Linked DNA regions of Rattus norvegicus. The protein of the gene in region 1 interacts with the protein of each later gene in a pairwise test. Links are inferred from orthologs where the notes say so. Each region holds a gene or a part of one and is shown on either strand. Other genes may lie near its edges. The genes, in order: Mybpc3 and Myh7.

Region 1 (7,545 bases):
ACTCTACTTGCTTGCCCATCTCCCACAGGCAGCAAGAAGAAGATTCGTTTGTACCAGTTCCTGCTGGACCTGCTGCGTAGCGGAGACATGAAGGACAGCATCTGGTGGGTGGACAAGGACAAAGGTACCTTCCAGTTCTCGTCCAAGCACAAGGAGGCGCTGGCGCACCGCTGGGGCATCCAGAAGGGAAACCGCAAGAAGATGACCTACCAGAAGATGGCGCGCGCGCTGCGCAACTACGGCAAGACGGGCGAGGTGAAGAAAGTCAAGAAGAAGCTCACTTACCAGTTCAGCGGCGAGGTGCTGGGCCGTGGGGGCCTGGCTGAGCGGCGCCTCCCGCCCCACTGATCGCCTGCAGAGCCCGCCAGGCTCCCGGCCCCCGCCGGCCATAGCATTAACCTGTCGCCCGGCCCGGACACAGGGAGGACATTCCCAGGGCCGAGGCAGGACTGGGGACCCGGCCTCGCCCCGCCATGCCCCGCCTGGCCGGCCCCGCCCGCTTCGCCTCCCACCAGGACTCTAGCCAGGCCCAAGGGCTGCCTGGGCCTCGGACCTCACCCGAGGGTCAGCCTGGCTTAGTGGCCACGGTGCTTCTTTGGGAGTCTGGCGTTGGCACCTTTTTGTATATTGAATGCTTTTTAAAAAGCTCTTCATCTTCCCACCCCACCCCCCATCCCCATTAGCCTCAAAAGTAAAATTATTGCTGGCTATTCTCCCAGCCAAGAGTCTCATTCAAGAGTTTGTGTGTGCCGGGTCGCCCCGAGTGCACGGATGTCTCTCTTACTTATCCAGTGAACATGTTTCCAAAGCTGGACCCTAGGGACATGGGGACCGTGGACACACAGCACTTATTTCTAGTAAAACAAGTCCTGGGTTGTTATCAGGGATCGGGGATCATAATGAAAGGCCCTCAGCACCAGGAAGGGTTTACGTCTCAGTGAAGCTTGAACTCATAATCTTCTGAGTGCGACACACAGTGATGGTGGTGATGACCACAGCAATAAGCACAGGTGTTCTGGTCACTTAGCATCTGTCGACTTTGAGATGACGAGCCTAACATCTCCCAGCTTTACAGAATGGGAAACTGAGGCTCATAGTAGTTAAATAATTGTTTCAATGTCGCACCGCTGGATGCTCTCTAGGACTGTCCATCACATCAGGCAGGGTAGAAGCTCCACTTATCTGAAAGAGGAAATGCTTCTGCAGGAGTGAAGTCCAATGCTCCTGGTGCCACCCAGCATGATTCTGGATGATTTGATTGTGAGCCTAGCCTTTACCAGCTGCAATCTTTCTAGCATGGACGCAAAGCATTCTTTTTTTTTTTTTTTTTTTTTTTTTTTTTTGGTTCTTTTTTTTCGGAGCTGGGGACCGAACCCAGGGCCTTGCGCTTCCTAGGTAAGCGCTCTACCACTGAGCTAAATCCCCAGCCCCGACGCAAAGCATTCTTAATGGAGACTCCATAGGCACGGCCTTCCCTTCGAAGCACTTTGCTCCCAGGAACTGCAGGCAAGGGACATCTGTAAACATCTTGTTTCATTTAGGTGATGTAGACAGAATGTAGGCAGGTGATGGCAGTCAGGGAGTGAGGGCATTTCCCAATGTCTGCACATCTCAGGAAACACAAACCCTAGGGATGTCACTGTCGGGAAAGATCCCTGCACACCTCCTGGCCACGCTGATGTTCCCTAGTCAGATTGCCGAGTCTCAAGAGAAGCCTGTGGATATGAGCTGCTGATAGCTCTGTGGTAGAGCCACAGTCTTTTTTTTTCTTAAGTATTTTAATTACATTTTAATTCATTTATTTTGTATGTATGTATGTGCACACATGTCATGGCATATATGTGGAGGTCAGAAGAAAACTTGTAGGAGTCAGTTCTCTCCTTCCACCAATGGATCCCCCAGGAGTTGAACTCAGGTCATCAGGCTTAGCAACACACACCTTTAGCAACTTGAGCCGTTTGTTTGTTTGTTTGTTTGTTTGGTTGGTTGGTTAGTTTTTTAGTGACTCTCAAGCCCCAGTTCTTTAAACATTAAAGAAAAAATATTTTGCCCACATGTATGTATGTGTGCCATGTGTGTGCCTGCAGTTTAGAAGAGGGGTGTCAGGTCCCCTGGAGCTGGAGTTACAGATGGTTGGAACCATGTGGGTGCTTGGAACGGAACCTGAGTTTTCTGCAAGAACAAGGGCTTTTAACCACTGAGCCATCCCACACCAGTTCTCTGAAAGACTCAGAGATAAGTATGTGGTGCATACCTGGAAGAGCAGCCCTTAGGTCGGGGCAGGAGGATTGTCATAAGTTTGAGATCAACCCGGATTACTAGTAATAGCTTCAGCACACACACACACACACACACACACACACACACACACACACACACACCACTCTCAAACACACACACACACGAACCACACACACAAATACACACACACTCACACGCACACACCACACACACATATACACACTCAGACTCACACACCACACACACACACACACACCACACTCTCAAACACGCACCACACACACAAATACACACACACACACCACTCTCAAACACACACACATGCACCACACACACAAATACACACACACACTCACACACACCACACACACATATACACAGACTCACACCACACACACACACACACACACACACACACACACATGACTTAGGAGCAGGTGATGTGACTTTAAAGTAACTAAAATTGGGTGGAAATCGTGGCTGATAAGTTCCTATTGAATGGAAGATGCTTATATATGGGCTTCCTCCCTTCTGGTGATAGGCTATCTATTCTACTAGTGTGGCTTGATGGGGATTCCCATCATTTCTTTTTCCCCCCTAACAGTGGATGAACCTGACGCATGAGGAGTATCAGGAGGGTCCAGTCACAGAACAAGAACAGTGGGGTGGGGTGGGGGCTGAGGGATTCAGGATCCTCCCCATTTATCTTCGGTTCATCCTCGTGACTTCAGTAAGAGCTCTCTCTGCTCCTGTCCTCCACTTTGGAGTACATTTAGAGATTCACCCCCATTCCCTCATCTGCAGGCTTGCCTAGCGCGTCCCTTGGTGGGACAGTAACTCCCAGCATTATTCCCTCCCTGCCCAAGCCTAGACCAAGCCCACCCAGGATTCCATGGTCCAAGGCCAGCCCATGCCCCTCATGGTGCAGTAACGTGTGCCAAAGCTCTGCCGATCAAAAGAACAATAGCAGCTAGCTAGCCCTGGACACCTTCGCCCCCAGCGCATGTGCCCTTGACCCTTTAGCTGTGGGTGTCACAGGCCAAGAGCCCCTCGACAGTATAGTTTTCCGCTGGGTGGATACACAAAGGTCGGCCTACCTCTGAGGTCCACGGAGGATTGGAAGGGCAGAAGTTATTCAGTCCTGCTGGAAGTGGGGGAGGAGAAGCCGGAGGACCAAGTGGCCCTATCTTCTCCATGAAGATACCTCAGCTGGATGGAATTTGTCTATATTTAGCAGGTGGCTAGCAGGAGGCTGATAAGCAGGGCTGGGGAGGGGGTAGTCCTCATAAATAGTGAGAACACGGGACACTGTTCAGTCCCTCCGTGGGTGGCCTGCTTGGTGCGCCGTGTGACTGTTCTCAAGATGCCTGAGCCAGGGAAGAGACCAGGTAGCTCCACAGAAGGGGTTGGGTCTGGACCTGGGGCAGTGGTGTGCATGGCTTGCGGGTAGGTTAGGTACTGGCATAGGATGAGGCCTGTGGGTTCCAGGAAGGGACAGGACAGCGGTCCTCTTTGGGCTGTGTCTGATTCTCTGCTTCTTTTCCCAACCCTCTAAAGAGGTTGAGGATTAAATTCAGTGTCAGGGCCACTGAGAGATGACTTTTCTAAGTTAGGAAGAATCCAGGGTCATTCTATTCGGACCTATGCTTTCTTTTTCAGTCAAATTCCAGAAGTTCCACGTAGGTTGCAGTGGAGGCAGTCCACTGAGTCCCTGAGCACCTTCTGGTCTCAGTTTCTGAATGTACTGAGTATGTGGGGGTAGTGATCCGTTCCAGCTCTGAGTGTCTGCCACATGAGCCGGAACCCCTAGGGTCCTCACATCATGCCTGACTCCAGATATGGGGTGACAGAGCCTCTCTTCTCTTGACTAGAACAGGCAAACGAAGGACAGAGAACCTGCAACCAAAGGCCTGAACCAGGCCCATACCCTTGCAGAGATCATGGGGGCAGGGATCCAGTCCCCAGGCCCTACCTCCAGCCCCCCTGCTGCTCCCAGGCTAGTGTTATCTCAATTGCTCATTCTTAGTGTGAAGCCCTCAGAGGACAAATTTAGCTATATTCCAAGTAGGCAGCTGGGGCCCTTGCCAAGGGTCCCACAATGGGAGAGGAGGCTGGGCCCATCGCTGATGTTCCTAGTCAGGAGGGTAGGAACATCTTGTGGGGTGGTAGGGACAACATCCTGAGCTCTATCATCTGTCACTTAACCTCTCCCTCACCTGAGAAATAAATATGGTTGCACCTACCCCATAGAACTCCTGGAGCATTAAACAAGAGGCTTGGAGTGTGCTTACCACAGTCTTCTTGAAGGAGGGTGTCAGGGGTCAGGTACCAGGGAGCCTGGCTCCTGCAATTTCCATCTGACTCTTCAGTGTCAGCCTTCACCAAGAAGCCCAGGTCAGTGGAGGTGACCGCAGGCAGTGCTGCTGTGTTCGAGGCTGAGACGGAGCGGTCAGGCCTGAAGGTGCAGTGGCAGCGGGATGGCAGTGATATCGCTGCCAATGACAAGTATGGTTTGGCAGCAGAGGGCAAACGACACACACTGACAGTGCGGGATGTGGGCCCTGACGATCAGGGTTCCTATGCGGTCATCGCAGGCTCCTCAAAGGTCAAGTTTGACCTTAAGGTCACAGAGCCAGGTAAGGGCTTGCTGACCTCTCCTCAGGGCCCAACCTGATCTTCAGTCATAGCCCTGAACAGGGAATGGACTCTGGGCACTGGCCTTTGCCCTGGCAGTGCTGTAAACCAGAAATGCCTGTTCCCCTCTTCTGCACCAAGATCTCTCTAAGCATTAGTTGTGGCTGCAGCTCTTTCTGCATTGTGGGGGTGGGAAACCATGAGCGGTGTTCTAGGAAGGGCCCTCTCCCATAGCAGACCCGGAGTCTGGCCACACCCAGACAAGGACTTGGCTAGCTGTATGTGTTGGTGAGGAGCTTGGTGGTGCTGGGGGTGCTGGGTCAAGGCCAAAGCCTGGAAAGGGACAGCAGATGGATCGCAGGGCTGTTCAGAGCAGAAATCTGGACATGGGACAGGTGGACTGTGAAGGTTGGAGGAGCAGCAGGCTAGCTCCTCTTCTTGGAGTGAGACCAGTGCCTGAAGGAGTCTGGGGCACAAGTGGAATGCATTTTAGGTGGGACATAGGTCTGATGTCCGAGAGGGGGGCTCTGATTAGAAACCGTTCCATGACCCCACCTAAGCCCCTCCAGAGAAGGCAGAGTCTGCAGTTGCTCCAACCTCTATGGAAGCTCCAGAAACTCCCAAAGAAGTTCCTGCTCTAGCCACTCAGTTGGAAGGAAATGTCTCAAGTCCTGAAGGTAAAGGGGACTGGACAATGAGGGACAGGCCAGTGGGTGGGGAATATCCCAGGACAGACCTCAAAAGCCTTCTTTCTTAGGGTCAGTCTCGGTAACCCAGGATGGCTCAGTCGCAGGGAGTCAGGGAGCCCCTGACGACCCTATTGGCCTCTTTCTGATGCGGCCACAGGATGGCGAGGTGACCGTGGGTAAGTGGGAGCTTCTGTGCTCATACTTGGGACGGGGAAGGAAGCCCCAGGGCAACAAGGTCAGAGAAGTCACCTTTCTCTTGCAGGCGGCAGCATCGTCTTCTCAGCCCGAGTGGCGGGAGCCAGCCTCCTGAAACCGCCTGTAGTCAAGTGGTTTAAGGGCAAGTGGGTGGACCTGAGCAGCAAGGTGGGCCAGCACCTGCAGCTGCACGACAGCTACGACAGAGCCAGCAAGGTGGGACACAGGGCACGGAACTATGGAGTACAGGATGTAGGGAGGCTAGAAGACTGGGAAGCAGGGCAGAGCTGCAATGGTCAGCCACACCAGCCGCACACTGCACAAAACAGCTCCTACGTGTAGCCATCTGCTTGGAATTTTATCGTGGCCATGCGCCAGCAAGAGCCCATCAAGGGTCTTGAAAGGTGGATCCTTTCTGTGAGTTATACAAAGGCTCTGTATGTGTTAGCCCTGAGAGGTGAGGCGGGCAGGCTTTGCCATGCCCATTCTCTCTAGAAATGCAGGGCCTCTCCTTGCCCAGACTTCCTCCATCCCCTGCCCACAGGTCTACTTGTTTGAGTTGCACATCACAGATGCGCAGGCCACTTCTGCTGGGGGCTACCGCTGTGAGGTGTCTACCAAGGACAAATTTGACAGCTGCAACTTCAACCTCACTGTACATGGTGAGAGAGGCCCTGGGATCTCATCAGTTCTTGTGGTCTTCATGGGTCCTGGTCTCTTGGGCTTGTCTCTGTCTCACAACTAAAGAGGGTGACTAGCTGTGGCCAGATGCCAGTGCTGATCACCTGAGGTGTGAAAGAAATCCATGAGTTCAGGAGCAAGCGTGGGAGCAAGTCGAGGGTGGGATGCCGGTATCAGTCATCCCAGCCTGACACAGTTTGGATGTGAACAGGGAGGTGAGTGGGAGGCAGCCCACTGTAGAGATGAGGGTGAGAAACTGCCCCACCTCTCTAAACATGAACCCTGGAAAAAGCTGAGAAGATGGAATCTTGTGCCCCCACCCCCTGAGGTCACCCCCATCACGTCACTCTCTTTGTACACAGAGGCCATTGGTTCTGGAGACCTGGACCTCAGATCAGCTTTCCGACGCACGTGAGTGGCTCTCTTTCCTCAGGAATAGGGGGAGGCCAGTGTCAGGGGCTAAGGCCCCTTTAAGTTTTAGATAGACACACGGTGGGGGGTCCAAGCTGAAGTCTGAGGGACAAAGGTGAACTCCTGGGTCCTTGAGGAGGCTGTCTAATTCCACAGGAGCCTGGCTGGAACGGGTCGGAGAACCAGGTACTCTTCTGTCCTCCCTCCGCCCCATCCCCTAAGCCCCGCTAGCTCTTCAGTGAAGCCTCATGGGGGTCTCTCTCCACAGTGACAGCCATGAAGATGCTGGGACTCTGGACTTTAGCTCCCTGCTGAAGAAGAGGTGAGTCCCTGGGTCACATTTTCCAGGGCAGGGAGTAAGACACAGCATTGGGGTTTCCAAGCTGTGTGACCCTGAACAAAATAAGGCACCTCTCTGAGTTGACTTCCTTACCAAGTGGGATGACCCCAGTGTGGACAGGAGTTATGTCTTAATAACATCCTCAGTGTACCCCTGAAGACCCCATATTGAATCTATAATAGATCATTTCCATAGATTCTGAGGGCTATAAGAAATAGGAAGAGGGTCCCCAAAGTTGTAGCAATAAGGACCTAGCCCAGCACCTGACTTTTTTTTCTGTCCTTTCTTCCCCTTTCTTCCCATCTGCCCTTCATGGCTGCTGCTGCTGCTCCTGCTCCTGCCCAGAGAGTAAGG
Region 2 (7,003 bases), on another chromosome or scaffold:
TAAGCAGACGGGTAAAATGGGCTTAGATGTAGCATGTCTCTCTGTGTCGAGAGGTATGTGTGAACGGGTGTGTTTGGGTATGGGGGTTGGGGTACTGGAAAGTCTTCAGTCTACTGACATCCTCCCAGAATAAAACAGGGGGATAGGAAGCATGAGGGTTACCGACTTCAAAGAAATGTATGCAATCTCACTGTTATGCTCAAGAACAGGGATAGCTGTTTTGTTGTGTTTTGTTTTGTTTTGTGTGTTTTCTAGACAGAGTTTTTCTGTGTAGCCCTGACTGTCCTGGAACTCTTTCTGTAGATGACGCTGGCCTCAAACTCACAGAGATCCTCCTGCCTCTGCCTCCTGAGTGCTGGGATTTAAGGCATGCGCCACAAGGCCCGGCCTGAGCTGGCTTTTTATTAAAGTTAAAATTGTAAACGCGCATAGTTCTATCTTTGACTACAGGGTTTAGAGGATTATCTCAGAAGAACACTGTATCTGCTGGGATTTAAGGCATGCGCCACAAGGCCCGGCCTGAGCTGGCTTTTTATTAAAGTTAAAATTGTAAACGCGCATAGTTCTATCTTTGACTACAGGGTTTAGAGGATTATCTCAGAAGAACACTGTATCTCTTTGGTAAAATGTTAGACTCTTTGAGGAGAATCTTTGCAGAGTCTGGTCCTGAATGACCATTGTTCCCTCAAATGTGTAAACGTCCGTTGACTGCCTTACCATTCTGCTCTAATAACTCAGTATCTGTCTCAGTCGCAGGACTAAGAGCTCCCCCGAGATGGGCACTTGAGTTTACTCAGTTTTGTGTCTCCAGTACCCTGCACAGAGCCTGGAACCCATAGGTACTTACAGGATGCTGAATGAATGATTATGGCCTTGGAATCTTCTCCCACATTCATTCATTCACAAAATAATCCACTGAGCAAACCTTTCAGTCTGGACATTCTCATGGTTCCCTGGAAACATCGGTCCTTTCTAGGGAAGTGTCCAAAGTCCTGGATTCTCTAAGGATTTCCAAAATAGAGACAAAACTCAGGCTAGCATAGCCTACCTTGTGGTTCATAGCTGGCTCTTCTCTCTGCCAGCTGGAGGGATCCCTGGAGCAGGAGAAGAAGGTGCGCATGGACCTGGAGCGAGCAAAGCGGAAGCTGGAGGGTGACCTGAAGCTGACCCAGGAGAGCATCATGGACCTGGAGAACGACAAGCAGCAGTTGGATGAGCGACTCAAAAAGTACCGTGTTCCATACTGCCAGGGCCATTTATCCAGCCCAGCTCAGCTCACCCACCACAGTATAGGCTGAGCCAGGCAAGGGGCCATCCTAAGAGGCAATGGATGCTCAAACTGAGGGCAGAGCCTCCCTAACCCGCACATCAGATCCCAAGGTCCTCCCTAGCAAGGAGTCTCACTTGGATCTCTCAAGCACCTTGTCCCTGCTAGACCCCAGGGAGAGGTGAAAATAAAAACTTGCTTCCTTTGTGAGCACTCGGTCAGATAGGAGGAGAGGCTGCCCATAATTTCAAAGGAATCGCTCTGCTGTTCAAAAAAATGTAAGGGTTGGGTCATTTCTTTTTCTAGGTAGATTCTGGTTCCAATCTTTATTGCAAATCCTTCCCAAAGGTGCACACACAGACTTGAATAGTGAGCTGCAAAAACGTATTTTGATATTTGAGAATCTTATAGTACTTCAACTTGTATTTGCATAGGAGTCTTTACACGTCCCTAGGCACAGAGTTTGTTGAATGAATGAATGGATCACATAGATCACATATGGTCCTAATGGTTTTTCCACCTTCCTTTTTTTATATTTTATTTTTAATTGTGTTTGTGCATGTGTGTGTGTTTTAGTGCACACACATGTGAGTGCATCGCTCACAGAAGTCAGAAGAGGGCACCAGACGCCCCTAGAGCGGGCCTATCAGGCAGTTGTGAGCTGCACGGTGTGAGTGCTGAGAACCAATCTTGCTTCTTCTGGAAGAGTAGTTCTCTCACCTGCTCTCCTCAGCAGCCTCCTCAGAGTACTTACAAAGATGGTGTCTGCCATCCTATTTTATCACAGAGACAGCTAAGGCTCAAGAAGGTTAGGGAGTGGAAGGGAAGTGAGCATGCTCCAGGCACGTGATCGAGGTGTGAGACACCATCTTTATGAAGCCCAGCGCCATGCACAGTGAATACACACCAATTAAAAAAGAGAGAGAGAGATGACTGAGTTGCCTAAGCTAACAGTGACAAGTTAAAGACCACAGCACCAAAGAGAAAGAAAAAAGTGAAAAGGCCTTTGCAATAGTCTCATTACTTCACAGAGGAGAATACTTGGAATAAGAGGGAGAAGTCTGGGCTGGAGAGATGGCTCAGTAGTTAAGAGCACTGACTGTTCTTCCTAAAGGTCCTGAGTTTAAATCCCAGCAACCACATGGTGGCTCACAACCATCTATAATGAGATCTGGTGCCCTCCTCTGGTGTGTCTGAAGACAGCTACAGTATACCCACATATATTAAATACATAAATAACCACCCCCCCATTTTTTGTAAAAAAAAAAAAAGAGGAGAAAGCCCCACAGAGCCCCACTATGCTGCCCTGCTACAGGGTTTTTCATTGTATTTTTACTGGACTTGAACCTGACAGACAGCAGGTGTTACCCTTCCTTCAGGGTACCCATCCTAAATCACTCTTTAAAGTATTTTTTTGCCTGTACTCCATTGGTTTTATAATCTCTGACCTTCTGGTGGCTACTCCAAGTGCCTTCCTGACCTGCTACCCCTCGCTCTCTCTTCCTTACAGGAAGGACTTTGAGTTAAATGCACTCAACGCCAGGATTGAGGATGAGCAGGCCCTGGGCAGCCAGCTGCAGAAGAAGCTCAAAGAGCTTCAGGTAAGGCCAGGGGCTCTAGTTGAGTGTGGTGTCCCGGGCTGGCTCTCAGCTTCCCTGGATCCCCCTCCAGGGTATGATACTGGTGCATCACAGAACTGTGTACCTGTGAAAGGAGATACAATGAACAAGGCTTCCTACAGGGAGCCCCCCAATTGGGGCTTATATGATCCAAGGAAGACCCAGGAAGAGACCTTGGGGGCGGGGAGGGGGTGTCTAGGACGGCAGAACTCCTGGTTTCCAAGAGATTACGGAACCCCACTGCTGACCTCTGAGTCTCCCCACTCTGTCACCTGGTGACTTTAAAGGTCCCTTCAGTCTTTATGGTTCTTTCCTCCGTAGCAGGCATTGAATTAGGTCTTCAGCTATTTTCTCAAACAGATGTGGTTTTCTCAGTTACACGTTTGCTACTTTCCCCAGTAAACTGCTCTCAAAAACCCATGAGCACAGATTAGGTGTTTGTTTGTTTTTGTCCTTCTCTAAGAGATCTGCTTCCTTCTAATAAAGAGAATGTGCAGTGCTCAAGTCTAAAAGAAAGCTGACTGGCCTGTTCAAGACACTTCCCCACAAATCCTTTTATGTCTACTTTTCCAGTTATACATCAAACTTACTTGCTGTTCTCATAGGCCAGGGGTCTTTTAGAGCCCCAGAACGGGCCTCAATGGAGGGTCCAGGAAGCAGGTCTGAACCTCTGTGTCCCTGACTAGGCACGCATCGAGGAGCTGGAGGAGGAGCTGGAGGCTGAGCGCACAGCCCGGGCCAAGGTGGAGAAGCTGCGCTCAGACCTGTCCCGGGAGCTGGAGGAGATCAGTGAGAGGCTAGAGGAAGCCGGTGGGGCCACATCTGTGCAGATAGAGATGAACAAGAAGCGCGAGGCCGAGTTCCAGAAGATGCGGCGGGACCTAGAGGAGGCCACGCTGCAGCATGAGGCCACAGCTGCGGCCCTGCGCAAGAAACACGCGGACAGCGTGGCCGAGCTGGGCGAGCAGATAGACAATCTACAGCGGGTGAAGCAGAAGCTGGAGAAAGAGAAGAGCGAGTTCAAGCTGGAGCTGGATGACGTTACCTCCAACATGGAGCAGATCATCAAGGCCAAGGTGGGTCTTTTCAGCAGCTCCCTCCTCTGATCCCTCTGCTTCCGGTGTCGATCCTCTTTCTTCCTTGACGGCTCATCTGGGTGCTCCCTTACCGTCCATGGTTTTCTCTTTCATTGCAATCCTTACTCCATTTTAGTTCCTTCCTGAACCTACTCTGTAACTCCTTCCTCTCTCAGGCTAACCTGGAGAAGATGTGCCGGACCCTGGAGGACCAGATGAATGAACACCGGAGCAAGGCTGAGGAGACACAGCGTTCTGTCAATGACCTCACCAGCCAGCGGGCCAAGCTGCAGACAGAGAATGGTGAGTCCAGGGCTGGAGCTCCGTGACCCCCAACCTCCTGAGCATCCTGGCCTTGGGCGTACACGCTGCTCACGTGCCCGCAGCCTCTCCAGAGAAGGGAGCCTAAGGATTAGGGGCTGGGTTGAGGGTGAAGAGGGGCTGAAGGTACCTTGATGCCTCCCCAGGGGAGCTGTCCAGACAGCTGGATGAGAAGGAGGCTCTTATCTCTCAGCTGACCCGAGGCAAGCTCACGTATACCCAGCAGCTGGAGGACCTCAAGAGGCAGCTGGAGGAGGAGGTCAAGGTAAGGCCTGAACTCAGGGCCTGGCCCAAGCAGAGAATGCAACAATAGGCCTTGGATTCTGTCTGCATCTCTTTCTTCTCTAAGAGTGAGGCTTGCCTGGTCCAAATTCTCTACAAACTGTAAAAAAGAAGTAATAACCCAGCCTTTACAAGGTATCTTTTAAAATCTGTTCCCCAGGCTGACAGAGACCCTTTGCCCTCCTATTGCTGTGCAGGGGTGGGGTTGGAGGGTAAGGAGGCAGAGAAGTATCCAAGGTAGTGGTTCTCAACCTCTGGGTTGCAACCTTTTTGGGGTTGCATATTAGATACCATGCATATCAGACATTTACATTAAGAATTTAGAACAGCAGTAAATTATGAAGTAGCAATGAAAATAATTTTATGATTGAGGGGTCACCACAATATGAAGAACTGGATTAAAGGTCACAGCATTAGGAAGGTTGAGAACCACTGGTCTGAGATGTGTTTTGGCCTTCTTGGGTGCAGATACGGGGTGGAGGGGCTACACAAAAGGGTCCTAGAATTATGAGAGCAACCTGAAGCCTGGAGAAAGAAAGCCGGAACCTATCCCTAGCACAGTACTGAGTTTACGGTAAAGAGATGAGACCATGAGTTCTTAAAACTCACAGAGCGATGGCTAGGGACATAGCTCAGTCAGTGAAGTGCTTGCCACAGGAGCATGATGGTGTTTGGGCCCAATTTCCAACACTTGTGATCCCAGCACTGAGATGGCAGAGACAGGCGTATAGCTTGTCTTTACTACTTTGTGGATTCTTTTTCCTCCTACCCTTCTCTTCCACCCTTCCAACCATCTAACACTGAATAAGAAAGAAAAAAAGGATAGAAAGGAAAGGAAAGAGATCCCTGAATAAAGTCAGAAGTTGGAAAGGGAGCAACTACTTCCTGCTGATTAAGGGTGTTGAGTTTGAGTTGATTGGGGCAAGTTTGATTTTCACCATCGGGATCTCTAATTATTATTTCTTCTTCTTCTTCTTCTTCTTCTTCTTCTTCTTCTTCTTCTTCTTCTTCTTCTTCTTCTTCTTCCTCTTCTTCTTCTTCCTCTTCCTCTTCCTCCTCCTCTTCTTCCTCTTCTTCTTCCTCCTCCTCTTCCTCCTCCTCCTCCTCCTCTTCTTCCTCCTCCTCCTCCTCCTCTTCCTCTTCCTCCGCCTCCTCCTCTTCCTCTTCCTCCTCCTCCCCTCTTCTTTGCACATGACTACTTAACAAACCATGACCAACAGCAACCAACATCCAACACTGTCTCTCTGGGCCCTACCATTTATATACCCTCTGAAAAGTACCTAGAATTCCAAATGCTGCACAGTTGCAGAAAGTACCCGCAGCTGGAAAAATCACACCCCTGCCAGAGCACGAGCCAAACCACAGTCAGCTGCTGTGGACAATCTGAAGTAACCCCACAGCCCCACACCTGGGATTAAAACAAACACACATTCTAATATTTCTGTGTTCTTTTAAGAAGCCAAAATTCTAAAATTATCACTACACAGGAAGATCTCTTGAACTGACTGGCAGCCAGCCTAGCCAAGGTGGTGATCCTTAAATCTCAGCGACAGACTTTGTCTCAAAAAATATGGTAGACAGTGTCTGTGAAATGATACCCATGGCTGACTTCAGAGCTCCCTACACATGTACAAACCCCCAAAACTACCTCTTTTAGTGTGGTGATATAAGGAAAACTTCCTGGTGTCTCTGTTTGCACCTGTAACTGCACTGGGGGAGCAAATCTGCTGCAAGGAGCCTCGGGCAGTGGGCACAAGAGCATTGTAAACAGTGCCGCACTGCTTTGTTGTGTAGGGTCCTCCTTGCTCAGCAAACCACACCAGGTTCACTGGAGAGCTGGAGGTAGAAGTGGCCAAGGGAGCATGCTGGGCCTGGGGTAAGGGGATGGCAGAGGAGAAAGCTGATCCACTTCCTCGATGCCCACCTCTTCCCAGGCCAAGAATGCCCTGGCCCACGCACTGCAGTCAGCCCGGCATGATTGCGACCTGCTGCGGGAACAGTATGAGGAGGAAACAGAAGCCAAGGCTGAGCTGCAGCGTGTCCTGTCCAAGGCCAACTCAGAGGTGGCCCAGTGGAGGACCAAGTATGAGACGGACGCCATACAGAGGACGGAGGAGCTGGAGGAAGCCAAGTGAGTCCTGGGTACCCAGCTCTGGCTGAGGCTCCTTTGCAGCCCGATCTGATGCTCAGTAGTCCACACGTAGGGGACTCTTAGGCACCCCCACCTCCTGCTCCTCTCAGGGAAGCTTTTTGCTCGCGTTATGTTTCTCATCCGAATATAAGACGAACAAAAGGTTTGTCTGAGGGCTGAGTGCACCCACCTGGGGTACGGTGCTATAGGGAACGGGGCTGATCCAGCCAAGAAGGATCAGGCTCATGGCCCTCATAGGTGCTTTATGTCTCCATTCTCAGCTACTGAGATTTGCCTGCTAAGTGCC

The links.
Region 2: the proteins of Mybpc3 (region 1) and Myh7 interact in a two-hybrid assay, tested with the Homo sapiens proteins (2 studies listed by IntAct). The link is inferred for Rattus norvegicus from reciprocal best matches to the Homo sapiens genes MYBPC3 and MYH7.

The regions. Positions count from the first base shown.
Region 1 is NC_086021.1:97,547,487-97,555,031, forward strand, and holds the start of Mybpc3 (myosin-binding protein C, cardiac-type), read left to right. Parts: upstream 1-3,574; 5' UTR 3,575-3,604; coding exon 3,605-3,629; intron 3,630-4,610; coding exon 4,611-4,877; intron 4,878-5,435; coding exon 5,436-5,552; intron 5,553-5,632; coding exon 5,633-5,740; intron 5,741-5,826; coding exon 5,827-5,975; intron 5,976-6,303; coding exon 6,304-6,421; intron 6,422-6,802; coding exon 6,803-6,851; intron 6,852-7,007; coding exon 7,008-7,037; intron 7,038-7,119; coding exon 7,120-7,173; intron 7,174-7,545. Other genes in the region: Spi1 (transcription factor PU.1), read left to right, coding at 29-348. UniProt on the Homo sapiens protein: Thick filament-associated protein located in the crossbridge region of vertebrate striated muscle a bands. In vitro it binds MHC, F-actin and native thin filaments, and modifies the activity of actin-activated myosin ATPase.
Region 2 is NC_086033.1:32,421,506-32,428,508, reverse strand, and holds part of Myh7 (myosin-7), read left to right. Parts: intron 1-1,048; exon of another isoform or gene 1,049-1,082; coding exon 1,083-1,228; intron 1,229-2,777; coding exon 2,778-2,868; intron 2,869-3,572; coding exon 3,573-3,962; intron 3,963-4,138; coding exon 4,139-4,265; exon of another isoform or gene 4,266-4,429; coding exon 4,430-4,548; exon of another isoform or gene 4,549-4,665; intron 4,666-6,499; coding exon 6,500-6,696; intron 6,697-6,782; exon of another isoform or gene 6,783-6,894; intron 6,895-7,003. UniProt on the Homo sapiens protein: Myosins are actin-based motor molecules with ATPase activity essential for muscle contraction. Forms regular bipolar thick filaments that, together with actin thin filaments, constitute the fundamental contractile unit of skeletal and cardiac muscle.